Styela clava: one gene and its partners. The protein of the gene in region 3 binds, or shares a complex with, the protein of the main gene of each other region. Links are inferred from orthologs where the notes say so. Each region holds a gene or a part of one and is shown on either strand. Other genes may lie near its edges.

Region 1 (8,639 bases), on a different chromosome or scaffold from region 3:
TTATTTGAAACAAAAATGTGAATACCTCATAAAACAAACTGGAAATAATAAAATGTAACGATTCCAGGAGAAATATTCATGCATTCAACGAATGTGGTGGATTTTGCAGTAGCAAAATAGTTAATTGCTATTTATTTCAAATAAATAATTTAAAAACACTCGACAAAATAATGCAAAATTTTTTTGGCATATTTAAAATTATAAATATATATATGTTGAAGCCATGTTTAGATAATAGCAATGGTGGGTATCCAATTTATGTGAATAAGGGTATTAGTACCAGCCTGAAATTAAGCAAAATGGATTCACATGGCAAACGTAAAGCACCTCTTATGTTGTCATATGCAGCTGGTGACTTTGTATACAATGACAGAATCAATGGGGAAAAATCCATCATAAAACACTCATTATTTGAAGTTAAAATATGTGTGTTCAATTTATGTTTTCATACCGACCTTACAATTTCAGGGTGGTATCGTTCACCAGATATCTTTTTTGCCGAAAGTTTTAGTTCCTCAATCAAAAATTTTCGTTGATATGGCTGTATGGTGTAAGTTGATTCTGATTTTTGAGATAAATCATTACCTATTAGTCAATTCATATCCTTGCTTACTGCTACACGGCATAAATCCTCACACTACAACTTTTTTATGATTCCTTTCTTCCTGAAAATATACATATTAGGTTACTACATAATATCTTGATTTCTTATCAAAATTTACATTCCTCGACAAATCATTTCTGTATTGGCTACCTAGGACATTCACAACTTACTCTTTTTATGCTTAACAATCGTAGCACAAAGTGATTCTCTACTACATCTACTCATTGGAGCCTTGAAGCGAATTTGAAATCTTCAGATCTTACTGTCATTTGTCAACATGCTTTTAAGTGCTAGGACCGGTTCTAGGGCCTTCCCTCTCAAATGATTGCTCTTCTATTTTGTTTTGTAATCTGCATTCTATAATAAAATCTTTATTAAAGTTGATGCACAATTAATTTGAATATTTATAAAGCCACTCACTTAATCTTGTCGTGAGATAACGCCGTCAGAACACAGAAAAACGCACGATGATTTTGGAAGCAATAATCTGTCTGCGCCTAGTCGGGCGTGACGGCGAATCCAACATCGGGACAAATATCGGAAGTTACACGGGGTTGGTCAAACCAGAGACAATGCATCTTTGGTCAAACCGTTCAATTTAGATTTTCACCAGTCGTTGATTTGCACTGAGCAATGACATTAAACAACATGATGCGCAACTCCGGCATTTTTGTCCGAAGATCGTATTCGATAGCACGCTCCAATGCACATACTTGACGAGACGAAAACGAGCGGATGTGTGCTGCTTTCAAGGCGTAGCACGAATGGTGTTCGTGCCTGTTTTGACAGTTGTTGTCGATTTTAATGATATTTTTGAAAGTTGGGGTAAAAAGAGATCGGTAAAAGGTAAGGTGAATACTATTGTTGTATATCACACCCGGGCATCGCACTGTTAAGTACATGTGGGAAAGCCAGCCTTTGTCAAATACTACGAAGTTATTAATTCAGTACGCTACGTAGTTGCCCATTTGCCGAAATTACATATTTACTTACCCCTTATGGTTTCAAATAGTTCATGCACCTCCAGTTAGATTTTTTAATCAGTGAGGATATATACTCATTGTTGATTGCTGCTCATTGTAACATACTATTACGCATTCACTTTTATTTGCGTATTGAATCAAAGTGTTAACAAGTTCACCTAACATTTCACTCATACCGGTCTATGTTGTATAGTCTGATTTCTCAAGTATTTGGAGCCACGAATGCTTGTAATTTTCTGACTAAACCCTTTTATTAGTTGGTTTATATACCAAATTCAGTAAAATATTTTTTAAATAAAACATAAGATATTGGATTTATTAGCTTTTCCATTCTGAATCATATAGACTGCTTTATTTATTCCTAACGAAAATTAATAAATCTCCTCTCTTTCTTCAGATGTGAAAGTTGTGGACAAACCTGTCTAAGCATTGTGAGACTCTTGCAGCACAAGAGGCAATAGCAGAAATAGTAAGTATATCAATCAAGAAATTAAGCCGACATAAAGCAAAACTTTCAACTATTCGTCTAATTTCAAATTCCTATTATTTATTCACAGGACAACTATAGCAGACGGGGAGATATCAGAAGTCTGGCGACATATCAGTGACAGTGTGATTCCAAGAAATATAATGGATTTGAAAATAGAAAATTGCAATAGAAAAACAACCTATGGAGGCATGCAAAGACATTTGACCCTCCGGTAGAGTTGTGTATGGCCCCCACATCCTGCAGGGCTTGAGGAAAATAACTAAAAATTCCAAAGCGTAAGATTGCATAAGCGGTCTTATTTGTAAAAAGGCACAAAACACGCCAGACATACTTAAAACAGCTTTGGAAATGAGGATTACGGGTACCTCACTGCACCTGTGTTATATTTGGTTCATCAACTTTTGGTAGTACTATAGAAGAAATTCCGGAAGGGGTATAATCATCATTCATGATAAAATACTATCATATATTTTTTGAACAACTTCAATCTAGACCAGGGATCTCAAACTCGCGGCCCCAGAGAACTTCCAGTGCGGCCCTCGAACGTTTAACAATAATTGTAATAGTATTTTGGAAGTTTTTTTATTTTTATCTAAATGTAATAGATTTTTCAAACCTTCTAAAGTGAAATTGATTATTCACACAGAAAACAATTTACTGAAAGTAGTTTTGGAATATTGATTTTTTTTTGTCCACATTTTGACCCAATCAAGAATACACATCAAGCTAGCAAAAGAATACTTGAATAAAACACTTGAGTAATTAAATTAAACGCAAAGTACATGAAAAAGGTGGCATTTTCGAAGAAAATGGGAGTTGTAACATTTCTGCTCTTCACAAAATTCTGAAGCACATTGTTTAATTTGTCATATTTCCATCAATACAATCAAAAAACACAATAAGCTAAGCAGTCAATATGACAAATTCGAAGACCAACTTCGAACAGAAAATTTCCATGTGTTTGTATATTAATATAATTATACAACGACTTAGTTACTAAAAATCAATATCAATAACAATTCAAGCAATCCTATGCCACGCAATGTAGTGCGAAATGTCTTGTCGAAAAAATCTGTCATTTGTTTTTTTACTGATCTATACATGAAATGATAAAAGTAACTTTTTTGCATTACTGGAATTAATTAAACATTCGTAAAGATCCAGATAAATCCATGATCATGTGGCCTCGTTAGTTAGAGTTGGTACTATAAAATCATTTCAGACTGGCCTTAGTATGCTGGTGACACAAAAAAGATGCCAAACGCCAGGACAAATGTAATTATTAAAACATTGAGTTTATACTGTAGTATTTTTGTTAATTTTAGGTTCATATATTTAGATTAAGTTATTTTTAGTGTATGTATTATTCTTTCCTTATTCAAAGCTTGTTCAAAAATGATTTTGATGGTTGTACATAGAATTTTACGATTTTTTATAATAAATACTGTAACTTGCAAATGTTGCAATAATAGTGGAATGCAAATATTAATATGTAATTGCATTTGAAATTGAAGAAAATAATAAAACTTAATCCAACTGTTTAGTTGCATCACAAAATATGTCACAAACTAACACTATCTTAAAAATATCTTTTAAGTATACATTATCAAAAACTGTTTGCGGCTCTTTTTACAATTTTCAAAATGCAATGCGGCTCTCGAAAACCCATGAGTTTGACACCACTGATAGACGATTCAAGCATTGCTTTGGGAAATTATATCACTTCAATTAAATTGAAATAATCTCGCTATATTAAATACAAAATCGTTGCTATCATAAAGGTAAACCAATTCAGCCACTCGAAATATACTGGCCTTCACAAAGCAATGGAGGCAAAATTGAGAGTTCATGAGCTATGAACATTTGTTCTTTTCTTTGTCTTGAACTTTCCATACTCCACAGCCCCTATTAATTTTTTTTAATTTTAATTATCATGTGATGGTCATACATATCTTTAATTTGTATTTTCTGTCATGATGTATTATCTCAATGTGCCAAACTATTAATTAGTGTGCATATTTTGCTTCCAGATGACATAAATGTATTGTCATGTTTATTACCTCAGCTTGGAGTATTGACAAGAAAAAGGTGCCAGTAAATTAGGTAAAAAAATTTTCAACTCATTGTTATAATCAGAATTCACAATCAATAGGAATTATAAACAGCCAACAATCAGTGAGAATTATATGCGAAATCCCTCAGAATAAATTTGTCTAAAATCGGAGGAAGGCAAAAAATATAGGTAGTTTCCATCCACACAAGCATTTCAAGAAGACTTGCTCGAGCCAAACTAAATGAGCATCGTCAGGTGATCGGTAAGGCTGCAAGTTGAATTCAGCCCTGCAACCTCCTGCATAGAAGATAATATTAATTAGTGGGCTATGAGCTAAATTCCTAAATTTAAACAAACCTATCTACGATGCATTATGTACCAGCAATGTTACCTACGATTAACTGAATATGTAATATGTCTAATAAATTCACCTACAAATGCAAGTTCGATAGGTGCAAACTTTGTGTTATGGAATTGTATCGCAGCACAGTTTTGTATGAAATTTCAATGATTAAGCGCAAACATTAAAATTACTAACTTTGAACTTTGTCATTATCTGCAAAATGTTCCACACTAATCTTTCCGCTATCGCGTTTGTAATCTTCTCTGATAAAAAAAAACGTCTATGATGTCCAGAATTGCTATTTACAGCTTGCCTGTTATTCCAGCTTTCCAAGTAAGCAAAACTTCTTAGATATAGAGATTATTTTGTTTCGTTACAGGCGCAAAAAGGCAGGTACTATACGTAAAAAAGACGCCGAGTAGCAAGAGCGAGCGGAAAACGGACGCGAAAGGCGACGAGAAATATGTGCATTGGAGCGTATCATGAAATACAATGTTTTGCCTGTAGTCTTATGGAGTGACGTCAGAGTTGCCCATCATGTTGTTTAATGTCATTGCACTGAGTAATGAGATATATATTCTCATTGCACTGTGACGGTCATTCAACAGCGGTTTCGGGCATTAAATTGAGTCTGTAAACTGGGTTTCATCATTGAGTTCTTAGTTGTGAAACGTCGTTTTAGTAGGTAGCAGAAAGGCAAAAAGAGTCGAGCAAAAATGTTGTTCGTTGGGTCAAGGATAGGATAGGTCAAAGGTTAAAAAAACATCAAATAGAATCCCAGGTCAGGTCTCAGCTTTATTTATGCATGAGTTGGTGCTCGGCGACGGGACGCTTCGTGTTGTCAGATTTTTCAAATTCTTTTAACCAATTGATTTAATGTATTAACAGTTTTCTTTTGGAAAATTTAATTTGACATGTAAATTTTGTATGCAAAGATGGATGGTATAAGTTATAACTATAAGTGTAACTTAGAACACAAAGACAGATAGTTCATTTCGAAAACTCCATGTTACACATAGCAGCATAGCTTGGAAATGGAGACCTCTGGAGAGCGAACAGAACTTTAAAACATGAGAAATATTATGTGCCTGCTCACCAGCACACACGCAAAAAGATTACAAAAACACAAACTTACAAGGATTAGGCCAGAAATAAATAAACAATCTATTTCAATGTATATCTATATACAATCAATGAAGTTATACCTCATTCCCTAATTAAAGCCAGTTATTACTAAATTATAGTTGAGGAACCGCCGCAGTTTATAGATTATTTTTAAAACTCCAGAATACATACACACAAATTAAATTGGAGAATTCTGGGAAGCTACGAAAAATTCTAACGTTATATTCTGATATATTATTCTATATTAAGTTTAAAACATAAGAAATATCATGTGCCTGTTAATTAACATATAAGTTTACAATGAATCAAGAAAAGGTACTCGCTGCATTTGGGAATAATTGGAAGCCTATTTTATATCAGTGTATAGAAATATTGAAATTTTCAACTTCCCAAAAATAAATTGTCAGCTTGACTTTGTGTCCAATAGAAGAATACAGTACGGTATATTGTCAAATTAGTTAACTTGATTTTTTGTTATTCAAATAATTATCTCTTCATTCGATTCAACCACAAGAAATTAAATACCCGTAACTAATCATTCTTTACTTTTTAAATGAAGGAAAAGTGCGTACTCCTCACATAAATATTTTCTGGAGGATTTAAAACCCCTTATTTTCCAGTCATCTGAATGTAGAAGATTTTGACCAATTTACAAGTAGAATTTTTTAAAACTTGGATTTTTAATAATGTCACTCAGTGAACCCCGTTCGCTTCCTCCTCGAGCATTGCCTCCACTAACCGCTGGTGCTTCACATGTTGGTGATGGATCACAAGTGCCGACTCCTCGAAAGAAAACCAGACCACCTACCAGCGGAGCAGACAATTCACCCGGTACAGGTTCGAAACGACCTGTAACGAAAACGAGACGCCGAAGAAGTCCAAGACAACAGGATGGAATCGAAACAGGATCTTTACAACCATCTTCAGCAGCGGCCAGTGTAGCTGATGAAACTCAAATGAGTGAAGGAAGGTTAGTGTGAATCATGTACAGACTAATAGATAAGATTAGGAATTTTCTTTCTTAACAAAATGTTTTATACCTTTAGATCACATTAATTAAAGGCAAAATTAATGCTGTCCACAATGGTCATTTGTATACAAGATGTTTAAGACCTCTGACAGAATAATGGTTTTCAGATGAACAGAAATCTTTCACTAGGGTCTGTTTATTTTGAGCGCTGTAACATGTCAAACTGTTGTATTTGAATAATACAGTCTTGTCTAGTGAGCTACGAGTATGTGTACTCCACGTACAGACGTATTAGAGTTCTGGGTCTAATCTGCAAGCTGAAGTACACTTTCTGTTTGGCACTGTCTACTCTATACAACTTATTACATTCTCAGTGAGGTTTGAGCCAAGGATCTATAACCTGTGATGCCTACGTAGTCATGTTCTCACCACCAGTATTCTCATCCAATAGTAAATTTAGTTCTATGAAGTGAAAGGACACCTCGTTTAAAAATTATGATTTCTCTTATGTTTAGTGGACCTTCTTCCACAGCAAAGCCCAGGACAAAAAGAAGAAGAAAACCAGCTGGTGCTAATCAGAGTCCTGGTGGAACAGGAGAAGTATCCACTGGAAATACAGTTTCAGCATTGCTACAAGATGAAGATGTAGTAAATGTTGAGAAAATTGAAGATGCTATAGTAATGACAAACCTTCCTGGTGTTGCCGGTGAGTATATATCTTTCATAACTGTCATAGATATTCATCTAGTTCAATCAAATGTAAACAGATTTTAAGAAAACCTCATTTTTTCTGCGCAAACAAGATTAGTTTATTACACAAGCATTTACTCTATTATTGTGGTATTTGAACTTACAAAATCTTGTATAAAAACCTGTTAAAGCCAGTGGAAACCGTCCTTGGTAATTTTTCCAGTGTTAAAAATGCTGATTTTTTGAATAGCTGGATCAGGTGGAAGTGCGGCAACTGACAAAGTCTATGTACAAACTACCAATGGATTTGCAACACACAATCAAGATTGGTTGAATGACCGTTTTATGAAAAGTATGGGAAGCGAAGCACAAATGACATATGGAGAGGCAACAATGAAACCGTCCAATGTGAGGATTGATAGGATAGGATTTACATATATACCTCGGGGCGGTTACGTGAACCGCCCTATGGCGGCGAGTAGTCCAGCAGTCTTCTCGCACATAACTGTCACTGCATGGGATTCGAACCCACGTAGGATAATCAGAGGTGCGGTGGCGAGCGTATTCTGAACGCTTAGCACGATGCGCCACACTGCCGAGCCTATCCTGCCACCGCTGATCTTGTGGAGTAGAAGTTTTTAGTCTGAACCACTTAAAGTTTAGATTTTTTTCAGTGGCTTGCCTAGAAACCCAATGGGGGGGTGTTTAATAGTTAAGAAATTATGACATCATAATATGACCCACTTGGTTTGCTTTTCTAATTCTATTCAGTATATTTTCCAATCAGAAATAATCATTGTATCTGGACTACTTTGGTCACAAATTAGCTAATTAGAAAGAAGCCTTAAAAGCACTGATAAACATCATAAATTCATTTCCAGATTGCCGAGCAAAATGAGAAAGCATTTATGTTCATTACATTATTACTGCATGGTGCACTAGCTGGATTCTCAATATGGCAGGTTGTCATCAGCTATTCCTTGAATGGTTTAGGGGAGCAGAATCTTCTAACTCAGTATCAAGGGTAAGTATTGTGTATTAAAATAGGATAGGATTTACATATTTATCCTGGGGAGAGGGAAGCCGATAACGCGGCTCAATCATATGGCGGACCGTGGCCTTTCGTCCGGTTACCAGGGCATGGGATTGGTTAGCCAGTTATTTGTTTCTGGAAGCATGGACTTGATGATGGAGTAAGCCGTTACCGACCAGCAGTTACGTGAACCACCCTGCGGAGGCGAGTATATTCCTAATGCTTAGCACGGTGTGCTTTTCTTTATTACCATAGTGTGAAGTTTATAGGACTGATGGTGTAAGATATTCATCACTGAATTACTATGTAATCATTATGAAATATCTGAACACAATATGGATGAAAATA
Region 2 (8,069 bases), on a different chromosome or scaffold from region 3:
ACCCCAACATCATTATTAGTATGCAAAACATTTTGATTATGAACAAATAATAAATTTAAAATAAATAAAAGAAAGAAAGTGCTGGATACACCTTAATGCTGTAATGTGGCGCGGCGGTGTGGCTCAACGGGCTAAGCGTTAGGAATACGCTCGCCACCGCACCTCTAATTACTCTGCGTGGGTTCGCAGGTTCGAATCCCATGCAGGGATGGTTATGTGCGAGAGGATTGCTGGACTCCTCGCCGTCGTTGGGTGGTTCACGTAACCGCTGGTCGGTTACGGCTTCCTCCACCACCAAGTCCATGCTTCCGAAAACAAACAATACAGTAAAACTAATCCCATACCCGACTTGGAATGGTAACCGGACGAGAGGCCGTGGTTCGCCATATGGATAAGCCGTCTTGTCGGCTTTCCTCTCCCCCGGGATAAATATGTAAATCCTATCCTATCCTATCCTATGTGCTGAACAGACCACGAAACGTCGATTTTCGAAATCGCTGCCAGCATGATGCATTGGCAAAGCTGTTTGGTGGTGTATGGAGTTTCTTCCGGTTGGCCACAGACCGTAAAAACAATATTGCGCAAATCAGAGAAATTTTATTCGTCCCTCTCATTACATTGCCATGCCGTTTTTATTAATTGAATAAGCGAATTATAAAAAATTACGCATTGCATTCAAAAAACGATGTTACCACATATCCATCAAATCTAAATTTGCCTCTCACAAAGGTAACATCAAGGCAGTATGGAAAACAATTAATGAACTTATTGGTAAAAATAAAACAGGTTCTTGTCCTTTGATTGGACTCGATTGCAGTAATACACAAATTGCAAATAAATTTAATGAACACTTTTCCCAAGTGGCACAAACCCTGCTCGACTGTATGCCACAACCAGCTGGCTGTGACAAAAATTACATTTCATATCTTGGAAAGCAAGAATCCTCATCCATGTTTTTAAGGCCAACTACATCATTAGAAATAAAAAATATTATACGCGAAATGAAGCCCAAGTCAAGTTTTGGAATTGACGGTATTCCATTCAAAGTATTGAAACACGTTCCAGAACATATCATTGACATCCTGACATATATATTTAATCTTTCACTATCTAGTGGGTTATTCATTGAAAGCTTCAAGACATCTAAAGTTCTTCCTCTATTTAAAAAGGGTAGTGTTTCAGATCTTGGAAATTATAGACCTATTAGTCTTTTACCATCATTTTCTAAGATTCTTGAGAAAATAATGTATAGTAGAATGTCAAACTTCTTTGAAACTAACAATGTTTTCCACTCTCATCAATTTGGTTTCCGCAAGCATCACTCCACTGCTATGGCTGCTAATGTTTTGGTACACAAACTGACCAAGGCCTTTGAAAGCAAACAACATGCAATTGGAATATTTCTTGATATTTCAAAAGCTTTCGACACCATTGACCATTCCATCCTTTTAAGTAAGCTCTATCACTATGGAATTAGAGGCGTCCCATTCAATTGGATCAGGAGCTACCTGCAAGACAGGAAACAAATTGTGCAATATGACAACTCATTCTCTACAAATATTTGTGTCATGAAGCACGGAGTTCCACAAGGATCTTTACTTGGCCCATTATTTTTTCTAGCTTACATTAATGACATGTCCAGGTGTCTGAAATCCTCTGAGTCGATCATGTTTGCTGATGACACTGACTTGATTCTTCATGGGAAAAACCTTGAAGATCTACTCACAGTTGCAAACCAAGAACTAACCAACATTCATAGCTAGATGTTGGTTAACAAATTATCTCTTAATGCTAACAAAACTAAATTTGTATTATTCCACCCAAGCAAGCATAAAAGTGTGAGTAGTTCAAAACCACTACTGCTCAATGACAATGAAATTGAAAGAGTGAAAGAAATAAAATTTCTAGGAGTTATCTTTGATGAAAATCTATCATGGAAATCACAAATGTTGCATGTTATTGGTGAAACAAAAAGGAACTTGGCAGTTGCTGCTAAAGTATCCCAGTGCGTTAATCAATCAGCTTTACTAGCAATGTTTCAATCTCTACTACTAAGTCATATCCGATATTGTAGCTCAGTCTGGCTCCATGGTAATAAAACACTTGTCTCGAAATTGCAAAGCATTTGTAATAATTTTTTAAGAATTGTCTTTAGGAAAAGTAAACGTGAAAGCGTAAATCATTTCTATAAATCGCTAAATATACTCAAGGTTGAAGACATAATGAAATTTGAAGTATTATCATTAGTTTATGATTTTCATGACAACTCATTGTCAAACTGCTTTGACGACATACTAACCAAAACCACCTCCAATCGAAGAAGTAATTCCAATTTATTTATACCGTTTATGAGTAAATCTGTGAGCCAGCATGCCCTATGCTATAATGGACCTAAGCTATGGAACTCTCTCCCCTTGAATTTGAAGTCATTAAAATCCAAAAAATCATTTCAGAAACAAGTTAAGTCGTACTTGGTATCCAAATATTAAAAGTTATTTTCCCATAACCACACTGATATATATACTCTTTCGTATGAAATTAGCTACAACGTTTTGATAGCTCGGACACAAAAAATATTGAACCTTCATGAATGACCATGATAGAAAGTTGGGACACTCTTCACTTGCACATACTTATTTTCATGAAAATATTAAACAGCTACAATATTGCTATTGCTCCTGCAGCTGCTGATTGTTGTTGAGCCGGCAGTTAATCTCTCTCCACCTGTTCTACATCTATTGTTGGTGTGTCGGGTTCTGTAGCATGCACAGCAAATTATTTTATTTATTTATTTTTCAAATGGCTGTTTACACTCTGACATCTGCATGCGCATGTTCCCTTTTTGCTTAACGTTGGATTTTTGACATTACACATGCATGATCTTTGTTTCTATATGGGTGGTGTGATACCTTATGAGGGTTGTAGACCGTATAGTTTAGCTCCTGTACCTATTATTGTAATTAGGCGACCAGTGGAGATATATTGGATTCTCCCCTTCATTTTAATTTGTTGTGGTATTCTATGATTTGTTTTGTGTGTATACAAAATTTTATCCTAGGTTGAGGTTCTGCTGTGAAGTTGATGTGAAGGCCAACATACGAATGGTCAGTGTGGTTTGAGAGTTTCTGCATGGTTTGCGAGGAATTCACCCTGTGTCCCAACCATATTTCAACTCTGGTCTTTGAACTAGCGTTTTATAGATAGATAACTAATAATCAATATCTACTCGAAATAATAATTAATTCTAAACAAAAGTGTAGGGTAGTGCTGTTTCCAAATATGTAACCCTTGAATATCCTACTCGCAGATTTGTTTTCTGTTTTTCAGGTCGTTCTGTGATGATCAATACAATGGCTAGTTTATTGAATATAAATGGTGTCTACAACAACAAAATTCGCAGGCTGATGTCTCATCCACGATAAACTTGAACCTATTACGCCATAATAATTAAATGAAGAAATGATCCTGTGAAATAACAATACTAATTCCTTTATTCCTAATTCCTTTATCCTTGCAGAAGTCAATATCTAAGAATGAAAAAAAAAACCTTATAACCTTAGCAACCAACATATTCCTATACCCTGTCTTTCTACCTTAATTAATTATAATTACTCATACTTATAAAGTTACTGATAGATTTAAATACTTATTGCAATCTGGACTACAATTTGGCAATAATAGGCTCTAGTTTGGGCAATGAAGTGGTCTAGCCCACCTCTTCATGCACCCAATTCTGGCAACTTTGGTTGGGCATTTTGGCATTTGACTCCATCTATAATCAGCTTGACAATATATTTTTTTATAAAAGTTTATCTTTACTGTTCACTCCCATTTATAAAATTGATCAATTTGGCAGTGGCAATCATGATAAATTTATTAATATGGTGTGGCAAGTAATTTTTATTTATTTATTTTTTATTAACTACCAGTATGTAATTTTTCATGTTCCCTTTACTTAATAACTTCTATATGGTTGTGTGTGTGGGTGCGTGTGAGCGTGTGTGAAATATTTCAATTATTTTAGGTGAGTGAACACGTACCACATCTTCTTGGCAAAACCTTCCATCTTATATACATTCTGTACGTTTTAAACCTTATCTAAGGTTTTGTTCGCTCTCCTGATTTCATAATCAGTTTTTATTTATTTATTTTTAGCATTCATTTTATTGTTTTGCTGATTATGGAGTCGAAATAAACTTATACTTATTAAACTTATTATCCGGTACTGTTCATCAACTGCTTGCCACTCTGCGTCAAACACATTACCAATTTTAAAATGTAAAACGATGTCATAAATTTGAATAATTTTTAAAATTTCATTTATGTGTTTTGAAATAATGTAGTTAAAAATCGTTCATTTATACCTGTGTTACCTAACATCTTTTTTACTTCTGACTCTCTACTAGCCCCACGTGATTAAAATTTCCCCGTTTTTGCATTTGTGTACATTATTTCAAGCGGTTAGCCAATTATAAAATAAAACTTTGTTGTGGGCTTTCTCAGTTTCTCTTAAATTTAGTAAAATGTTAGTGATATACGGTAGTTAAATTGACATCCAAGATTGGTACCTGACTTCTACATTACTCCTAAGATCACTGGTAAGTTTAAAATATGTTTAAGTGAAAGGTGATCTTGCCACCTTTGGCAATTCTGTCTGGGCAATTTGGATGAAGTAAACTTTAACAATAATTAGCTTGGCGATATTTTTGATAAATATCATTTTTTCTGTTTACTTGTGTTTATTGATTTGGTAGTCAATGATTGAGAAATTTAAAAAAAAAATCAGAAATCATTGATATACAGATATAGGTGTGGGAGTGGCAAATATATTCTTTTTATTTTTGCATAATATATAAATCAGAGTTTCCCAAATTTTTTGGGCTGCGGACCCCTATTCGAGAATCTTAATTTTGATGGATACGCGCTATGTATCAATTTCCATTTATAACACAAATGACATTAATGTGATGGATTAGATTGCTTTCCACTGCAAAATTTTTCGATTCTAGGTCTTGACCTGTATTTTGTCATCATATTTATAAGAGTTGAAAATGCTGCCTCACGCATGTAGGACGTTGCAAAAGGCAATAAAATTTTAATTGCCTTTTCTGACAGCAATGGATATTCGTCCGCAACGCTCAACCAAAAATTTGCAATTGCTCTTTGATTGAAATCAATCATTAAATATCTATCAGACTTTTTTCGTATCGTTTCGTACCCTGTGCAGTTGTCACGGACCCCCGGGGATCCCTGAACCCCCAGTTTACCTCCAGCGACACCATTCTGTTAAAATTCTGTATGTTTTAAACCTTACTTCCGTACATACAACTTTATTCGCTTTTCTGATTCTGTAATGATTTTTTTATTTTCATCAGCTATTTCTTGTTTATTTTTCTTAGATTCAAGATGGCCGTGTTTGAGATCTACTCATTACCTGCATTGTATCGATACAAGTCGAGTGTTTGGTCGAAAGCTTCCTTCTATGTCCTGGCAGTGTTAGTTTTAACTTTCATACCACCTCTGCTAATTGCATACAGAAGCCAAGGATTTTGGATTACAACAAACACATATCAAGAACAACCAGACGTCACTTATAAGAAACAACTTCTTATTGTGGCGGAACTTGCAAACCCTGGTGAATATTTTGCATGGAGCACGTATGCAAATTTTAACAATTTATTACAAGGCAATTTACGTGTTCCCCAGGTGTCTTCCTTTGAACTTGATAATAATCGTGATGGTCTTAACGATCAACTCTCGCTTAATATAAGTGTTCCCCTCACATCTTCAGAACAGGTTGTTAGTGTTCACCTTCTGGTTATCTTTGACTACAAGTTATACAGAATGTCAACATTTGAAATGGAGAGCATGGTTTACGTATCACAATCTTCGGCTTTAGGTGGGGCGGGGGCGAAGGTGACTGGTGATCTTGGATTGTATCAAAGAGTGCCGTTATATCACAGAGGCACTGACATTAGATTCAATACTCCTATCATTGATTCGACAAGCACTTTTGCTTCAAGCTATGATTTATTTACTATCCTAAAAAACTACTCCCAAAGAAACATTACCACAAGACTTGAAAACTCGTACAGTGTATGGTCGCCTGGGCGTTTGCCCACGGAGCCCTTTGTTTTACAACTTGATGTCTTTTATCCTACAGAAGTGATAACCTACCAGCCTGGATTTTGGGAATTAATCAAATGGGGATGGGTCCAATATGCCACCATTTTGTTGCTCTTTTTATGGGTGTTTAAACGAATTAATAGAACTGTATTTGAAGGAAATGTCTTCAATACAGTAGTGCAACAACCAAAAGTGAAGATAATAAAAGGACTTTAGCATGTAGAGTGGAATTTAGATTAAACTATTTAGATGATGTGAACATCTCTGTTTTACATGAATATCAAGTGACTGAAGCTTTAGTTGGATTCCTGACCCTTTTTTATATCAAACTTATTCATTACTCAACTCTCAAGCATACATGTCACACTCAGAACCGGATATTTGGTTTGAAATCAGAATGGTTCGCTCCAGTATAATCAAACTGTGGCTAACTTGGGAGTTGAGCTTCTTCAGAACTGGAGCCACTAATACTTCTGGTAGCTTGATTGGCCTCAGCTTCAAGAAATTTTCAAGGCTCCAGCTCAGTCCTGATGAAGTCGAAGATAGGTTTTGTCAAGACTTTCAAGCTAGTCAGAAACAATAAATTCCATTTGACAAATATTGTGGCCATATTGCTTCCTGACTTTTTAGTTTGAAAAGTAAAACTCAAACACCAGACACTGGAAGACTAATTTTTGACTATAAAAATTTTGGTGTCGGTTCTGATTTTAACTGATGAAATTCAGAAAAAAGGGTTTGGAAATCAACTCAAAACTATTATAACAAAGTATTCTTTCTACTGCAATAGAGTATCAGTATGGAATAATTTCATTTCTGGTTGTATTATTTTGATAAACCAATGGTTTTATTTTGATTAGCAATTGAACGTAATTTGATATCAAGGTATTTTATTTAGTGATACCTAATATTTGAATATGAATATATTTTTACAAAAAAAGTTGAATTCTTGCTTACGGTATATCTTTGTTACGCAAATGCAACGCAAGAGGGATGTTGAAACCTGGTCAGTGCGGGGACTGGCCATGTTTATGCACATTGTAACAATGAAAAAAAAACTTACAATCAAATATGAAAATTGAAGGGTGAATGAATCTCATGGAAACTGGCATTAGAAATTACCATTGAGTGGGTGTCACACAGTTGGGAACACCATGCCATTATCTTAGCTTGTGTAATTCAGGAATACTGTACAGCAAAATGTCTTTCTCTCGACTTAATTAAGGTAGTCCACCCATGGATTAATGACCAATCAACCTTTACATCCAACGAACCCGGTCATAGGAAATTATGCTTGGCGGTGTGGCGTATCGTGTAAGGCGTTAGGGATACGTTCGCCACGGCACCTCTGATTACCGTGCGTGGGTTTGCAGGTCCGAATCCTATGCGGGGATGGTAATGTGCGAGAGGATTGCCAGACTCTTCGCCGCCGTAGGGTAGTTCACGCAATCGCTGGCCATACCTGACTGACAACCGGAAGAGAGGACATGGTTCGCCATAAGATTGAGCAGTCTTATCGGCCTTCCTCTCCCCCAGGATAAATATGTAAATCCTATCCTACTTGAATATATAATCACTTTTGTATTCACCTCCGGTATATTGCAGTGGATGTAAATAGGAGAGCAATTTGGATGCTACCTAGCTGCATATCTTCACACCACTGCTTATATCTTCATCAAAAATTCAATCACCCTCCAAATCACAATAGTTGCTGTGGCAACTAACTAAAATCATTTTTTGACAATATATTTTTTGTGCATAAAAAGCTAATACGAATAGGTTGTTCTTATGTGTCCAACTACCCAGCCTGAACAAACTACAAATCAACAAATTAAATCACATGAAACTATATTGTAAATTCCGATAAAAGAGAAGAAAAATGAATAATACGATAAAAGATAAAACATACACGATCATCCCCACATGCACACACTTCATATATAAAA
Region 3 (8,435 bases):
GGCAAAGCCACGCAGAGTAATTACAAATGTAATGAGAATTGCAAAGATTTTGCTAACACTTAGAATAATGTGCCAACTATTTCCTCTAAATAGAAGAAGCTGCAAGGGTTGAGGCCTGAGGGTCACGAGATCTCGCTTAGATGTTGTTGACAAAACTTTTGAACGATACCTAACCAATTTTTTGCAGGGCTGTATATCTTAAAAACTTTTCAACATGTTTTGAACCATCTCAAAAAAATTAAAAAAATTATGACACGCTCAAAAGAATTCAAAAAAAGGAAAACTCTCAATAAAATCCATTGCCAATGCTGACCTTTATATTCATTCATATCTATTTATCATAGAAGAAATGAGAGAACAAAGTAAGTGTAAGAGAATTTACGAAAGTAATGATTGAATTGAAATAAAAGAAAGTAAAAGCAACAATTACTGAATATATATTTTACAATTAAAACCAATATTTCATTTATTTTTAACTCACTTCAAATTTCCAGTGTTCACCAAAGAAGTTGAAGAACAAGATGAACAAGTTCCAACAGAATCTACTACTGAAGAATATGAAGGTACTGAAAACAATTTTATATTTTACTTTTCTCATTTTACTAAATTGAAACTGATTTATAATAAGCATTTAAGTAAGAACATATTAACAAAACTCGTGGTTAATATGATATGTGTGTTTATTATATGAAATTTGTATGAAAGAAGCATAACTCAATACTAGTGATTGCACACTCATGGCACTATCTATTTGTACATACACCAAGATCATGGATGGATGGACAATCTTAAATAATTGACACAGAAGTAATTTGATATTAATTGAATATTTCAGAATCATGCTTTGATTTCTGAGATCTGATAAACTTGATACAATGAGCCTATTATGAAACCTAATTTGGTAATCTAATAGGTGTGATACTTCTTAATCAAATCAGTCAGGTGTTTCACATGAAATCAGGTGTTTCACAAGAAAAATAATTGTAAAAATATTGAATGGGGCTTTCTGGTTTGTCCTGAATATAATATACTGACAGTATGACAGTACTTTTGAGAAAAATGGTTTTCCAGCAATACCAAAACAGGGGTGTCGCTATGTATGACCAATTTTAAAAGCCACAATAAGCCTAAAAGATTCTCAAATATTGAAATGAAGCATATAAAGTAGCTCATATATAAACATATTACATAAATGAATATCAATGATAACAACAGAAATACACAAAGTGTCGTTTAGTTCGTTCGTTAGCTTGTGGTGTCAAACTGCCTATTACAATGTCAAACTGAATTCAAAACTCTATTAGTTCATTATCAATTCTTTGAAATACTTTCTTATAGCAATCAGCCCTACTTGAAGAAATTATCGTATGCAGTGAAGTGTGAGTCATTTCAAAATATTCCGCAAACCCCATATATGTATGATTTGGCCAAAGTACATGAAAATCATTTTACAGAAAAGTTATGAAAAAAAACAATATGAAAACTTAAGCTAAAGATTTTTGTTTTATTCAATATGTGCCAAGTACTACTGTATGTAAATAAATAAAAATCATTTTTCTTACTAATCAATTGTTGATCCACTGCACATGTACATTGTCCATTTACATCCGTTCCATTTGAGCATGATGAACAGAAATATCCATCTGGAGTTGTTATTCCCTGTTTACAACATTATTAAGGATTATTTCATGTTCAATTACTCACAACTAACAGGTGAAAAACTATTAAACAATCAAAACAAATGACTCGAAAATTTTGGATGGAGTATGATTTATCATTATATGAAATCAATAAATGAAAGTTAAAAAATCTAGTATTGATATAACTTGCTAGAAAAAACTGTAAATGTGAAAAAAATATTTGAATAGACATATTAGTAGGAAGACAAAAAATAACTTACGCTTGAACATGCTTGACAAGACAGAACTCTGACATTGTTGATGTCTGCTTTATAACCTGGTCTGCATGTGCATGAGTAACCTGAAAAATATATAATCAATAATATAAGATTTACATATTTATTCCATAGGAAAGGAAAGTTAATAAGCAGCTATATCACATGGGAAACTACGGACTCCCATTCGGCTACTAGTCCATGCCTGGTATGGGGTTAGTTAGCCAATTAATTTTTTCAGATGCATGAATTTGATGGTAGAGAAAGACGTAACCGAGCGGTTACTTGAAGCGCCCTATGACAGCGTGAAGTCCAGCAGTCCTATCGCAATTTTACCCCACAGGATTCGTACCTATGAACCCACACAGGGTAAACAGGGGTGCGGTGGCAAGCATATTCTTAATGCTTAGCACAAAGCGCAACACCGCCGAGATATTGAGATATGCAAAAAACTAAGAAAATACTTTTTAAGATTATTCGCATTCACCTGAAGAATCTGGCAGCATCCCCACTGGATCTTGGCAATTTCCACATTGTAAAATTCCAAAATTGTAATATTGTTCAGTAGAGCAAGCTGATGGTTGCACGGAAATGAATCCAAACTGTTGACATCTCACACATTGAAATTGGATATACAGAAGAAAAATCGAATAGATGAAAAAACTGAACATTATCTTCGAAATGTTGTATTAACAATTGTCACTGGTTCATAAAAAAAACAATGATCAGTTAAACATAGTAATAGTTTATTTTCTAGAATATACAGATACGGTAATTGAAAAGTCTTGTTGAACATTACGAACCTTTCTTCCAGAGATATCTCTCAGGCTCACTGACCATTCAAAAATCTGAAGATTTACAGATTGATATTGTGAAGCTAAACTTCAATTACTGAATTAATCACAAGTGGTGGTCCATGTTAAAAAAAAATTTCATTTTATTCAAGTAGAAGTTCATCACGAGCTCATTTTATTTTTACCGAATGATAAAATAATTGATAAAAAAACGAATAAAATAAAAAATTATAACTAAATAATAAGGTGATAAATAAAACGAAATAAGTTAAATAAAAACCGATATTAGAATCAGCCTAATCGTCCTAACCAACCATGGCTCTGTTTAAATAAACAGAGCAAATATATATCAAAGAGTTGACAGTGGAAAATAATACTTTCCGGGTAAACTCTTCCACCTTAATGTATTATTCGTCCCTCTGTTGATACACCAAAGATCTGAAAGTACAATGTTGTTGTGTTCGCTGAACCGCTTGATATAACGTAACGCCTTGCCACGCTCGATTAGGCATCAACTTTTTGGGCAAAGAAAAATTCTGCTAGAAGTAGAATTACGTAGGCTACATAATACAGGTTGGGTATAAAAATGGTTAATATAATAAACGCATTCAAGCAAAGTTGCACCTGAATTTGATTGTGCAAATACACATTAGATACTAAATAACATTTCCAGGTATCGTAGATTCTTTTTAATAGCGGTATCTTCATCCATTCATTTAGCGAATACTTGATAGGCCTACTGAATTTTAGCTGCAAAATAGCGAAGTAACAATTCAATGTATGAAATTAACCTAAAAGTAAAAAGCCATTAATAGAACAACAACAGATTTAATTAAAGGAATGTGGAGAGGCGCGATAATTAGGAGGTTTCCCATTAGCGACACCTAGTAATGAGTATAAATATATCGCAACAAAACATTTCTGACGAACATGACCAAGGTCCTGCGCCTGAGTGGCCTGCCAGCCCGGTAGCAAGTCTATGTCCATTGTGCGATATAAGTATTTTCTTTTGCAGTTAATAGGATGTGGCCTGACTAAATGCCGTTTTCAGACGTTGTCACTCGAATTGTCGGGGAAATACAATGCTATCTGATTCACTTCTGTGAAAATAGTTCATTTACTTCTCGCTTTGTATTTTGTATATGGTTTTTCCAAATTGTCTTTGTTGTACACCTTTTTTCGCGTTTGTTGTTTGCTTCCTCATAATTTATTGCTAGATAGTCTTCTGTAATAAAAAAAAAACTCTATGGACCTTGTGTGGATTTTAACCCTAGATCTGTATCATATAGGCTAACACGGTACCGATTTGGGTACAAAGCTCAAACAATTATATAGTAGGGTGACCATACGTCCTCCTTTTGGAGGATTTGTCCGCTTAAATTTTTCCGTCCTCCGAGGACGCTCTGAAACGTCAAAATGTCCTCCTTTTGGACGGGATTAACTATTTTAAAATTCCTTATGATATATATAACCAAAAATTTTTGATGTGTTAAAAAAAGTAAATATAGACTTGTAATCATCATTAGATATGACCAGGATATGACAACTGACAAGCAATGCATTGCGTTATGTTAACATGCGGGGTTACTCTAGAGCAAGCCTGCACAACTCAAATTCCCACGAGGGCCAGAAGCATAAATCTGAAGGCCCGGCGGGCCGCAAACTTTGCCACATACATATTTCACAAGATGAACTACAAATCAAAATAATATTGTGAAACAGTTAAATTTAATGAAACACTTTCATTACTGGGGAGCTTAAAAATATGAAGAATCTTATTTTCTTAAGTAAAAACAAGGTACAGTATTTTTGCATATGAGATGGCAAATATGTATTTAATGGTTCATCTACCTTGAAAACCCACCCTTCATTTTCAATATTTCTTTTTTATTAGAATTAGGTATTGCGTGTTGCAGTATAAACTGACTGCAGGAAAATATTTCACTCAGGTTCCGTTTTGTAAAATCGTCCCAAATATATATATGACAATTTATTTAGTCATATCCACCATTATTGGATATTTCCATTGTAGGCTGGACAAATAATCCGTTTAGTAGCAATAGATAGATCTTCCTCTGTTGTACTTTTTTGACTGTTAAATTACATTGTTTTTACAAAATCTGCTTCAATTTATTTGAAATTTTACAGTAAATAGCAATATCTTTTGTGCGAGAATTTCTTTTTTAAGTTCTAAATTTGATTCAAAAAGAAACTTCAGTTTCATAACCTGCTAGTAAAAAATAACGAGTTATTAATAGGTTGCTAATATGCACTAATAGGTGTGTGATTGTATATCGATATTGTTTTAAGCGTGATTCAGTTTGAATACTGAGATATCTAAATCAGGGTTTCCCAAACTAGGGGGCGAGAGATCGAGCGACGAATTTCAAGGGTCGCGGAGGGCACACCAATTTCACACAACGTTCGATATTTATTGAAACTAGTGCAAAACATAAATCTCACGATTTCGAGTACGATCGGAGTAGCGGCGCGCTTGCATAACAATGCCGGCTTAGGCTGTTAGACCTGAGAAGTGGCGTGTTCCCAAATTACCCGCGGGCCGCACAGAAGTATCTAGCGGGCCGTATGTTGTGCAGGCCTGCCTAGAGGTTAAATGCATAATTGATCTGCACAATCGTTTATGACGTAAAAATCGCATTTATTGTGCAATTCTGTTTTACGTCACTTCACTTTGTATATCGCAATTCCGTGAAGTTTCGATTGTGGCAGATCCTTGCGCTTGTAAACCCAGTAAATTATGCAGAAAAGGAAAACCTTTTTCTCTCAGGAACTAAAGCAAAAGTACCCATGCTTTAGAAAAGGTCGAACTGACAGCGAAGCGGAGTGCATTTCTTGTGGCTACGGTACTTTCGTTTCTGTGGCGAATAAGGGCAAACTCAGCTTACAGTTGCACGTTGAGAGTTCCAAGCATAAAACATCTGTTAGAGGAGAGACATCATCAGCCAAGGTGACCGACTACTTTTGTGCGCCTGGGACTCAAATAGAAGGAAATGTCGCTGTCGCCGAAGCTATAATGGCGTTTCACTGTGTGAAACATCACCAGAGTTTCAGATCTAACGATTGTACGTCAAATCTAATGAAGAAGATTTTTCCAGATTCAAATATTTCAAAAAAATATTTTTGTGGTCGGACAAAAGTTGAAGCTATTGTGAATAATATTCTAGCCCCGATGACTGTTCAACATGCCTTAAATACTAATCAACAACATGATATTTTGTATCTCGGAGTAGCGACAGACGGCAGTAATCATAACGCTACAAAACTTTTCGCGATAGTTGTACAATATCATGACTGGGAAAATGGTGGGTTGCAGTCTAAGTTGCTTGAAGTTAAAAGTACCACGAATGAGAAATCTTCAACAATTGCGAATGATATTAAAGAAACTTCGACCAAAATGAATCTGTTTAAGAAATGTGTTTCATTTACTGCCGATAACTGTAATACTAACTTCGGCCGATTGGCTTTTAGAAAGGGCAATAACGTATTTTCTCGATTGCAAATCAACCTGCCAAATTTGATTGGGGTAGGATGCCCTGCACATGTTCTGAATAACTGTTTACACCATGAAACCAATCAGACGAGCATTGATGTGGAAAATATTATTTACAAAACGTACCAATATTCCAGCATATACACTGTACGCACAGAACAACTGAAGGATTATGGTAACTTTGTGGATACACAGTATAAAAAACTACTTCCCCACTGCGTGACCAGGTGGCTATCACTTTATTCAAGTTTATCTAGAATGATTCAGGTGCACCCTGCCCTGCAGTCATATTTCCGGTCTATTGAAAAGCCACCTGTTGCTCTAAAAAGATTTTATGAAAATCCTGTGAGTGAGTTGTATTTAAAACATTTGCAATCGTTTGTTGCTGTGTTTAATGGCCAAATTAGGCATATTGAACATTCAAAATCCTCAATTATTGAAATCAAAGCTTGTCTTAGCACTGTTAAATCTACGATTGAAGAGAGAAAAAAACACACGTTCATACAAATCCAAATTAAATCTGAATTGCGTAGGCCGTGAATGTGATGTATTTCTCTCAGATGTGGCTTTATTGTACGAGTCTTGCGTACAATACCTCGAAAAATGGACAGCTTCGTTTGAGGAATTCAAATGCTTTGACTGGATGAGAATTGTTGAACCGTGCGTTGAGTATCTGCTTGCAAAAAATGTTTCGATTGATGAAGCCAAGTTATTCGACCAATTCCAAACTTTATGCAAGTTCGTAGAAAAGCAACTTCATTCCAATTCAGTTTCTTACTGTAAACTCATGGCACATGAAAGATGGACAGAATATTTCAAATCCTGCAGCACCAGGACTTTTACAGCGAACTGATAAAGATCGCACAATATTACTTCAGCATTATTTCGCATAACGCCAACGTTTTCGCGCATTTTCTCTTTAATGCAACCACAGTGGTCGAAAGAACGCGAAAACTTTCTATTTGAGTCCGTTGCTAGCATACTCACTTTAGTTTACAATTTTAACGACATTTCTTGCAGCCAGTTTTACGATATTGCACAAAATAACGCAGCAATGTTGACGAGGATTAGAGGAACTTCCAAATACTTGTGGGCTAAGGAAAAATAAATCGATTATTTCGCAGATGTTTTTTTAAAAAAGACAAAAATGCATCAACTCACTGTCGTCACATCGTCCATTGTCACTTCTATTTTTAATCCTAGAGAATTCAGTAGATATATAATGTATATCTCGGGCACAGATGAGATGTGGTTCTACCGAACGATATGTCCTCCTTTTAGGGATTGAAAATATGGTCACCCTATTATATAGTCAAACCTGAATATATATATATATATATATATATCTTGTAGAAAACCAGGCAACTTTACAACAATTATTCCCATTTACACCATACACTAACCTAATAAGTCTTATATACATATTTAAAATAGTGAATATGGGGGGAGTTGACTCTGATGACCGTACGGTCGTATCGCTCCTCCTAGTCAATACCGAAAAACTTTGCATATGTTATTGTATTTTATTGTTGCTATTTTTTCTGGTTGATTAAAAATAAATCTCTCTCTCTCGATTTGCTCATGTGTGGTGTATCGTACAAAGAGTTAGGAATACGCTCTGTAATCGCACCCCTGATTACCTTGCGTGGGGTAGAATCCCGTAGGAGGTAATTATGTACGAGAGGATTGCTGTACCCTTCACCGCCGTAGGGTCTTTCGTGTAACCGCCGGTTTGGTACGGCTTTCTCGCGCCATAAAATTCATGCACCTGAAACGAAAAACTGGTTAACTAATTCCACGCCCGACATGGACTGCTGGTATAAAAAAAGCTCATTTCGACTCCCTAATCAGCATAATAGACGATAAAATATCAGATAAAAACAAAATGAATAAAACTGATAATAGAATTAGGAGAGCAAACAAAACCTTAAGTAAGGTTTTAGATTAAAAGGTGATGCTAAAAGAAGTGGTAGGCTACGTTTTTGTGCCAATTGTGCACTTGTTATTTTGTAATGGCAGATATAAAATAACTGACTGTTTGACATTGGGTACAATTTTAGGGTGCTTATTGTACTTTGCCTGTCATTACTTTTTACATATTTTTATGTCGATGATGTCTAATATGAGCATTTAGGTTCAAGGTATTGCTTACTCGGCATATTGGCCATGATCAAGCTTGACTAAAAGTGATCAATGGAACGGCCGATAACATCTCAACCGTCTCATAACTTCGTCG
Region 4 (8,490 bases), on a different chromosome or scaffold from region 3:
TCTGCAAAATAATAGTCCTTTTGTGTTTTAGCATGACTAGAAACGGCGTATTTACCATCATATTTAACAGAAAAGTACTGTCGGCAGAGTGTGCAGTAAAATCATCAACTTTAGATAGCCATGACATGCCTTCTTGTAACCATTCTGAACGGAAAACACAATATCGTTTTGAAAGTTTGCCTTTCTTTTTGGGCGGAGTTTGTTCCAATGTATCCTCCACATTACATTCTACATCAGAATCACTTTGCTCTACACACTCGGTTTGCAGGTTTGTGAAGATGACATGAGATTATAAATTGTTTAAAAGATAATGAAGAACTCCTATAACACCCGTAACGATAGTAATTTAATGATTGTTTACCACAAGTGAAGTTCCTGTCAAATGTTTAAGTTCAAACTTGTACTCTTTACAAAAATAAAGTAATCAATTCTAAATCCACTGATATCAGTGGCGTTCTAAAATAGTAGTGTGACACGCTTACATGGCCTTATATTCCAGCACGCCTTGGTTGCCAGTAAATTCCGAGACAACAGTAGTCCAGCCCGGGACACGGGACGCCTGACGTCAATTCCGGGACTGTCCCGGCCATCCCGGGACGGTTGGCAACCCTATTTTACGATGAAGCGCACCTTCTGCTGTTAGGACATGGAAATGAAAGAGTTCAAACGGTGATTACAGAAGATTACGTGGTTGTGCCAGGAAAAATCTGCACATTACTTGAGATATTGAAAGAGGCAACCAGCAGGGGTTCAAGCATGACGAGGCGACCCCCCATATATCAAATCAGACGCTTGTTTTCCTGAGAGAAAAGTCAGCAATGACATCCAGTGGACACCTCAATTATCGGACTGAAACCTCTCAGATTTTGATATGTAGGGTGTTCGAAAGACAATTTGTATCAAGACAATCCTCAAACGATTGCAGAAATAAAATAGAAAAATACCCAAAGAAAAGTGATTGACAATGTTGCAAAATAAATGCAATTCTTTCTTCAATGCCGAGGAAACCATTTGGAACATATTCTAGAAACAACATAATTTTTGTGAAAAACGTCCTAGATTTTCCGACACCTTTGGGTACAAACATACGTAAACAGAAGTTCAAATGTAGACAAAATTAAATAATTCACTCAATTTTCGTAGAAGTAATTGATGGTTCCGTTTTTTGGGGACTACGCTGTATAATACTGTTTTTAATATAAATCAGTTAAATGTGCTGCTTAAGTCACTGTATTTGATAGTTTGAACTTACGAAATACAAATGATAAACCGACATTAAACAGTGTCAGACACAACATGATATAACAAAAGGCTAGATGTTTGCCGTTTGTCGATTTAAGTATTAGGTATGTAGCCTTATTATTCAATGACGCAAGAAATAAAAATTAACCAGTTAAGTCGCAACATGGAGATGGTATTATCTGGCGTACGTCAGTTCAATCGGATGCCCAACTCTCACATGTTGCTCTTAACAAAACCAGAATTAGAACATGGGTGTTGTAGGATACTTACACTACCGCTTGAAAGCACCATAGAACCCGATAGTAAAATGAAGCTATAATTCAATACAGTACAACGAAACGTTAAGTGCATGGTGAAAGAAGCATATGCCGTATGCGCTAGACTGGTATTATTATGAAACAACAATACAGATTTAAAAAAATCATAATACCTATTCTACGTTAAGCGTGAAATTTCCAACACCGGGATCACAAACAAACTAATTTGAACCAAAACATAGGAGTAAATGACATAAAATATCACACTTTTTGTGAGTTCCCGTATTGATGTCAGTGCCCCCCAATCGCCCAGTTTGACAGCCAGCGCCCCCCACTCGCCTAAATCGCCATCAGCGCCTCCCAAGTTATAGCAAACGCCCACAAGAGGACGTTTTTGCCCACTTTGGGGACCGCTGATGTATATTCTCATCAGGTACCGTAATTCCTATCACTTAGACGGCGCACGATGTGCCAACAATTATTTTAACATTTCCCTGCTGACATTCAGGTACCTGATTTTTTATGCATTTATTTATTTTTATCCTGACATTTTGGGTTAGCAGACGACACGGTTTTGATTTTGTAGCCTAGCAACGAAAGTGACACCTAGCGGGCAGTTAATACAAATATAATTGTAAACATTGGAAACAAATTTTAAAATGTTATAGCACAGGCTTGCTTCTCCATAGTTCAATACTGTATTTAGATACTCCGTAGTAAAGAATGATATAAACTTAAAAGAAGGCCGGTATACGCCGATGAAACAATGAGAAAGTTTAGTAGTGCGCAGATCTGCAGATAGACCCACCTTTTTTATTCAAACTTTTCTGGCAAATTTGTTCACATTCAACTGGACATTGACTTGTTTTGTAGTTTTGTCAGTTATAGGCTTATAGCTACCGGTACCGGCAGTTATAAGTATGTTTTCAACAACAAAAATAAGTATAGTTTAAATAAAATCCGTCAGCTCATCCACCATTTTGTCTTCATACTCCTGTACTCAATCAATCAATCATTGTATTTCGGGTCTCTGACTAAAACGGAACAATACAAAAAAGTAAACAGACAACAAATACAGAGATACCTAAAAGAGAGCATAACTTAAAATAAAGTTAAAAAACGTACAAGTACGTGCCCACCCACCAAAAATAAAATAGGAATAATACGAGTAACGTTAAACAAAAAATTTGGACACGATTCAAAATCGGGCAGTGCTTACAACTCAATTTAAAATGATAAAAGCCAAATAATTGCTTGAATCAGTGGATAATTTACATGGAGTAAAATAAGTGTTGCGCTTGAAATAAGACAGCAAAATTCAGGTAGATAAAATTAAGTGTAATAGAATCCCAACGACCTCCTCCGTCTCTGATAGATGTTTCAAATGTTCGTATACGATTATGGTAGCTGAGAAATCACCAGGATTAGCCTTGCAGTACATATATATAAATAAAGCTGATCTCGAATTCTGTAAATTTTGGGTCTGAGATTCCTATATAGCATAGAAATATACAAGTCAAAATCTATGGGAGACATCGCTTGCTGTCAGAAATGAAAAAAATCACCGAAAACCTATCAAATGTGCAAGACAGATAAATAAATACATGGTTGAAAAACAGCATGAAGTTTTGAATAGTGGGAATAAAAGTGGGAATAGAAAGTGACAATAGCTTGAAATAGCTGTGAATACAAATACCAAACAATGCGTGCCAATGTTAGAAGAAAATACCTAGTGACTAGTAACACAAAAAATACACAAAAAAGCTATATACATTGGAACTATTTACCAAAACAATATCCAAACACTGTCAATATTGGCAGGCAACATGGCTGCATGGAGGTGTAGAATCATTTATTAAAACAATAAAAGCAATCTCAATTACACACACAAAGAAATATCATGGGCAGCAGTGAAACATTGATGTTACAGTAGAAAATTCAAATTATGCTGATGTCTTAGGCGGTACATAACCACTTATTGGCAGCAGAAGAGGAAAAAATAGATATTGCCAAAGCTCATAAAAAATACAACATAGATAATTTTGCCATTAAAATAAGATGAACAATTCAAGGCATATTTATCAAAAGTAACACAATACAAACAACCATGTTAAACAGAAAGCACACTTGCAATTGGAAAATTTGTGGGTGTCTTTAAAATTTCCATTCCCTGCCAGCAATGCCCAGCATACTATACTATTCATAGTGAAACTTCTTTAGTCCTTAACTTTGTTATAAAGTGAACAGGACATCCTGAGATATGGTGAAGTGCTGATTAATACCATTCATGAAGTGGCCAAATATAAGTTCAACAGAGTTAAAAAATCAAATTACAGAATTAAACTGGCTTGTGTAGTTATGAGTGGAATATCTGTGGCAAAAAGTCGTACATTTCTTCACAACTCTGTTGTATTCACTTTCCAGCTTTTCCACTTTCAGACTTGTCAGCTGTCTTTTCCAACCCCAGACCCTCCAAATTGCAAAAATAGTTACCAGTATTTAACCAAATTGTGTTGTCCATAACACAGCGATATGTAAAATCGTGTTTGAACAATCAGTTTGATATTTTCAGTACTTGGAGACGGAAGAAGTCGTTAGAAGGATACTCCATTTATTTTTTCTCTAAAATCTACACGGCCTGATTATGATTTAATCAGGATGGGCATAAATAGCTTAATCAGACTACCGGCACTGGTAGTCGGTAATTTTGCCCTTCGGCATGAAAAAGTTTGCCGACCCCAACTCTAAACACTAGAGTTAGACTACTTCGTGTTCATACTGTCACCGCGTACCACTTTAACCTATTCTCTTTCCAACAATTAATTTGCTGGGTGGACTTAGACTCCTGCTGCCATTCAATATTACTCAGGCTTGAGATGTCAATATGTATTAGATATAACTTAAACAGCAAATAATCAAACTGTCATAAAAGTTCAAGTGTTGGTGGTGTCAATTTAGCATTTCATATTTCTGTATTTGATAATAAATTGTCATTGTGTTTATCTATCATATTTCAGTATCGTATTCGACAGACTGGCATATAGCAACAAGATACGCTTCATAAAGCTCCATCTATAGACCATGTGTTACAGACATCCCTTTAAATTTATGAATATGCATCCCCCAGGCCCAGAGTAAAGAAACCTGGAAACACTGTTCTACAGTTCTGAACTATATCCAAGTTATGTCTTAATGTCAGTATGTAGGATAGGATATGAATTACATATTTATCCCCAGAGAGAGAAAAGCCGGTAATATCGCCTATTCGTACTTCGTAGTCAAACTATAGGGTAGTGATACTGAGAGGTCTGTTGAACATCCTATTGAATGTTTATTTTAAATTTGTGATAATATTTTTATGTAGTGTCTCTTATCATCTGTAATTTTTGAAAAGTTGAAACATGGATTCTACTTCGGATACTTTACAAAAAAAGTTGCAAGAAAGACGAAAAGCAATGAATATAACGATGCAAACAACTGATTCAACAGCACTTGATGTTACTACAATCAATAATGATGACAGTGATGGTGATGCTGATATTCCTACTATTGGAGATGAGGAGACAGCATCGACTAGTCGTTTGATTGAGAAACTAGAATCTCGTCATGATGCTACACGTAAAAGACTCCAAACTTCCGAAATGCTTCGTCCTCAATCTGATGTTCGACTTCCTACTTCAAGATTACAAGAATCACCAAGGTCTATCACACCAGCTATGTCACCTGGCCAGTCTCAGGAATTGTCTCGGTAACTTACCTCCGTAAAGTGTACTGAATAGATATGACTTGACAATAATTTCAAATTATCATTGAAGGGCATGACCCCGACTATATTATTGCTTAGGAATATCTAATAATTTAATTCAATGAATATATGGGTAATGCCAATATTAATATTTTTTCCTAATTATTTTTTGCAGTCCCCAATCCGAATTGGAAAGCACATATTATTGCTTAGTTGTATCTAATACCGGTAATTTAATTCCATGAATATGTTGTGTAATGCCAATATTGATAATTTTTCTAATTATTTTTTGCAGTCTCCAATCCGAATTGGAAAGCACATATTATGGCTTAGTTTTATCTAATACCGGTAATTTAATTCAATGAATATGTTGTGTAATGCCAATATTGATAATTTTTCTAATTATTTTTTGCAGTCCCCAATCCGATTTGGAAAGCACATTCAACAGCACATTTGGCACTCGATCTGCTGGAATGTCCTTGCGTGATAGATTGCAAGCCAAGCTTCAGGCGGCTAAACAAAAGCGAGGTATTTCGCATGAGTAACATAAGGTTTATTTACTTTAGCATTAATATTTGGTTATTTGCATCCTTTAAAGCTCTAAAGCTCCTTTGAGTACACCAAAAAGTCAAATTAAAATTGTACATTTATCTAACAGTGAAAAAGGTAATTTAAATTTTCGAATATTACATTATAATTTTTTTGTGACCAATAATAAACACCAGATTACCTTTTTAGGGCATAATAATAATGATAAAAACACTTGGGATGTTACCAATCACACGGGAAAAATGAAACAACAATTTTTTTTTGATAAAACATTGACAAATATAATGATTTATTCACTATTGTATTGTCTTTTTTATCAATGAAAATATATTTCAGAGTTTTCTCAAATGGGCGAAGAGAGAAAAAGAACTCAAAGATTAAAAGAAAGGCTAAGAGACTCGAGCACCAGGTCAGTTGTTGAATTTAGATATGAAATTGCAAAGACTGTTCATTTTCAAAATAAGTTATGGTTATAATTTACGCAACACGTATGGATATCTTGGAAATCTTATTTTCGCATGGATACCGAAGCTCAAATAAACAACTTTCGATTTGTCATATATGAATATGAAAAGATTTTAAATTTTTTTACAGATTTGATGTTGATCCATTGCGTACTCTCAGTCGACCTGATTTAGAAAAGGAGAGAGAATTGGAAACCAGAGTTTTGGCGAAATTGCAATGGAAGAAGGTTCTACAGAAAGCTAGGTATGTTACCAATGTTTTACCTTACTTTTAGTCATGATAATTCTGCTATCTCTTGGATATAAAATGTAAAGTGCTCAGTATCTCATCTTTTCTTCATGCTCAATTGTGAACCGATTATCTATTTTTTTTTTCAAGGTGTTCAGTCAAGGTCTCATCTTTTCTTCATGCTCAATTGTGAACCAATTATTTATTTTTTTTCAAGGAAACAAATCGGTCAACCTAGCGATATTGATTGTTATGATTTTTTCACGAAACAATTTGAAGAAGTAACGGTGCAACCTGAAGTTGAATCTCCTGATGTTGCAACAACAGAAGAACATGCTGAGCAGGTTGCTGAAGAAGAAATAGAACAGGCTCCTGTAGTAGAAGATCAACCTGAAACTGCAGCAGGTTATTTTTTATTTCTTTGTTTCTATATTTATTTTCTACATAAATATTAACTAGAATTACAGTTGTTGCTCAGATGTTATTATCATTAATGCAGCAGTTGTCGGTAATGAAATAAGCTTCATTGAAAATTTATCAAACGACCAGAAAAGCGATGACATATCAGATTTTTAGAAGATCTTCTGGAAAATCTTTAATATTAAAATTTAATCAAGCAATGAAACACTTGAAATTATAACTCATGTACATTGGCTGAAATTAATTTAGTTTGGGTGATATTATAGTGTGTTTGTTGCCTTGTTTATTTAAAAGTTTCATGGCTTGCTATCAGCAGATTCCATTCATTAAATTTCCATTTCTTGACGTGATGACGTCAAAGTTATTCACAAGAAATGGTAAACTCACCAAACATGTGCGCAGCAACCCTAATGGAAGTTTCAATGAAACCCCAACCTCTATACCACTCTTAGATGTTACAAATCTGGAATTAAAATTTATGTCTTGAATTGCAAAGCTGAGACTTAACAGTGAATTCAAATTTCTATTTACACATCAATACTTGACAAATTTCGAAAATTCTGCTAAATTGGGTGGATTCATGCGTTACGTCGCACTAATTGAACTTATGGAAATTGGATCTAGCTGATATAAAATTTGTATTTTGAAATGTCATACAAAAATCTTGTTGTAAAAAAAATTATTAGTTTACACAAAAAAGTATGATTTTTATTTTTTAGGGGTATTTTTAGGATCGAGTTAGGCCCTGGCAAGAAGTCTCAATTGGCTCTTTGAAACGTACAATAGCACGTAAAAATTTTATTCCTGCTTTTTCACTACATATAGACCGCCTCATACTTTTTTATCTCTATATATATATATATACATGTATGAAAAAATTGATCCATATTCTATCATTTGTCAGTGCATTTTCAATCGATTACAATTGCATTGTTAGAACATAATGAAGCATAATGCTAACTATCATGATTTTTACAGATGCACAAGATGAGCAACCCACAGAAGAAGTAGAGGAAACTGATGATGAAAAAAAGAAATTACTTTCAGAGATTATTCCTGAAGAATTAGATTGGAAACTTTTCAATATAATGTCAGCAGAATATATAAGTTACAGGTATATATATAAGTTGCATTTACACAGGGATGTCCAAAATGCATATAATATTTAAGATTGTTTGTATTTGTTATAAGATTGTTTGAGATCTATCAATTTTTGTGTTTGCAATCTTTGCAAAGATGGTCAGAAAAAAATAGTGTTCTTTTAAGTTTTGGCGAGGTAAAAACTAGAAAACCATTTCAAAACACTGTTTATATTGCCATTCACACATTAGCCTACTGCTTTCATTTGCAAATTCTCCAATGAGCATCAAATAATTTATATTCTAAAGAAATAGGTATTTCCGAATGTGTTTTGAATGATGACTGATTCTATTATTGTCTTACTCTATAGCTGACATGGGCAAACTACTGCCCGTGGGCCGAATCCGGCTCGTTGGGTACTTCGATCTGGCCCGCCTGATGCGGCCACAAGCCCACAACCGAACTAAAAACTAAATTTTGATGTTTCAGCCAAAAAGAGATCAA

Evidence for each region.
Region 1: meckelin-like (region 3) and transmembrane protein 237-like share a complex: the UniProt entries of both Homo sapiens proteins name them as parts of the tectonic-like complex. The link is inferred for Styela clava from reciprocal best matches to the Homo sapiens genes TMEM67 and TMEM237.
Region 2: meckelin-like (region 3) and transmembrane protein 231-like share a complex: the UniProt entries of both Homo sapiens proteins name them as parts of the tectonic-like complex. The link is inferred for Styela clava from reciprocal best matches to the Homo sapiens genes TMEM67 and TMEM231.
Region 4: meckelin-like (region 3) and coiled-coil and C2 domain-containing protein 2A-like share a complex: the UniProt entries of both Homo sapiens proteins name them as parts of the tectonic-like complex. The link is inferred for Styela clava from reciprocal best matches to the Homo sapiens genes TMEM67 and CC2D2A.

Annotation. Positions count from the first base shown.
Region 1 is NC_135253.1:6,409,574-6,418,212, reverse strand, and holds the start of transmembrane protein 237-like, read left to right. Parts: upstream 1-5,306; 5' UTR 5,307-6,284; coding exon 6,285-6,568; intron 6,569-7,083; coding exon 7,084-7,274; intron 7,275-7,508; coding exon 7,509-7,666; intron 7,667-8,139; coding exon 8,140-8,282; intron 8,283-8,639. UniProt on the Homo sapiens protein: Component of the transition zone in primary cilia. Required for ciliogenesis.
Region 2 is NC_135264.1:10,087,490-10,095,558, reverse strand, and holds transmembrane protein 231-like, read left to right. Parts: upstream 1-4,438; 5' UTR 4,439-4,598; intron 4,599-5,399; 5' UTR 5,400-5,406; coding exon 5,407-6,342; 3' UTR 6,343-7,075; downstream 7,076-8,069. UniProt on the Homo sapiens protein: Transmembrane component of the tectonic-like complex, a complex localized at the transition zone of primary cilia and acting as a barrier that prevents diffusion of transmembrane proteins between the cilia and plasma membranes.
Region 3 is NC_135263.1:15,826,834-15,835,268, reverse strand, and holds the start of meckelin-like, read right to left. Parts: upstream 3,433-8,435; 5' UTR 2,566-3,432; coding exon 2,382-2,565; intron 1,981-2,381; coding exon 1,901-1,980; intron 1,660-1,900; coding exon 1,563-1,659; intron 567-1,562; coding exon 482-566; intron 1-481. UniProt on the Homo sapiens protein: Required for ciliary structure and function. Part of the tectonic-like complex which is required for tissue-specific ciliogenesis and may regulate ciliary membrane composition.
Region 4 is NC_135259.1:2,066,938-2,075,427, forward strand, and holds the start of coiled-coil and C2 domain-containing protein 2A-like, read left to right. Parts: upstream 1-4,859; 5' UTR 4,860-4,900; coding exon 4,901-5,247; intron 5,248-5,659; coding exon 5,660-5,772; intron 5,773-6,129; coding exon 6,130-6,202; intron 6,203-6,387; coding exon 6,388-6,501; intron 6,502-6,703; coding exon 6,704-6,891; intron 6,892-7,884; coding exon 7,885-8,020; intron 8,021-8,490. UniProt on the Homo sapiens protein: Component of the tectonic-like complex, a complex localized at the transition zone of primary cilia and acting as a barrier that prevents diffusion of transmembrane proteins between the cilia and plasma membranes.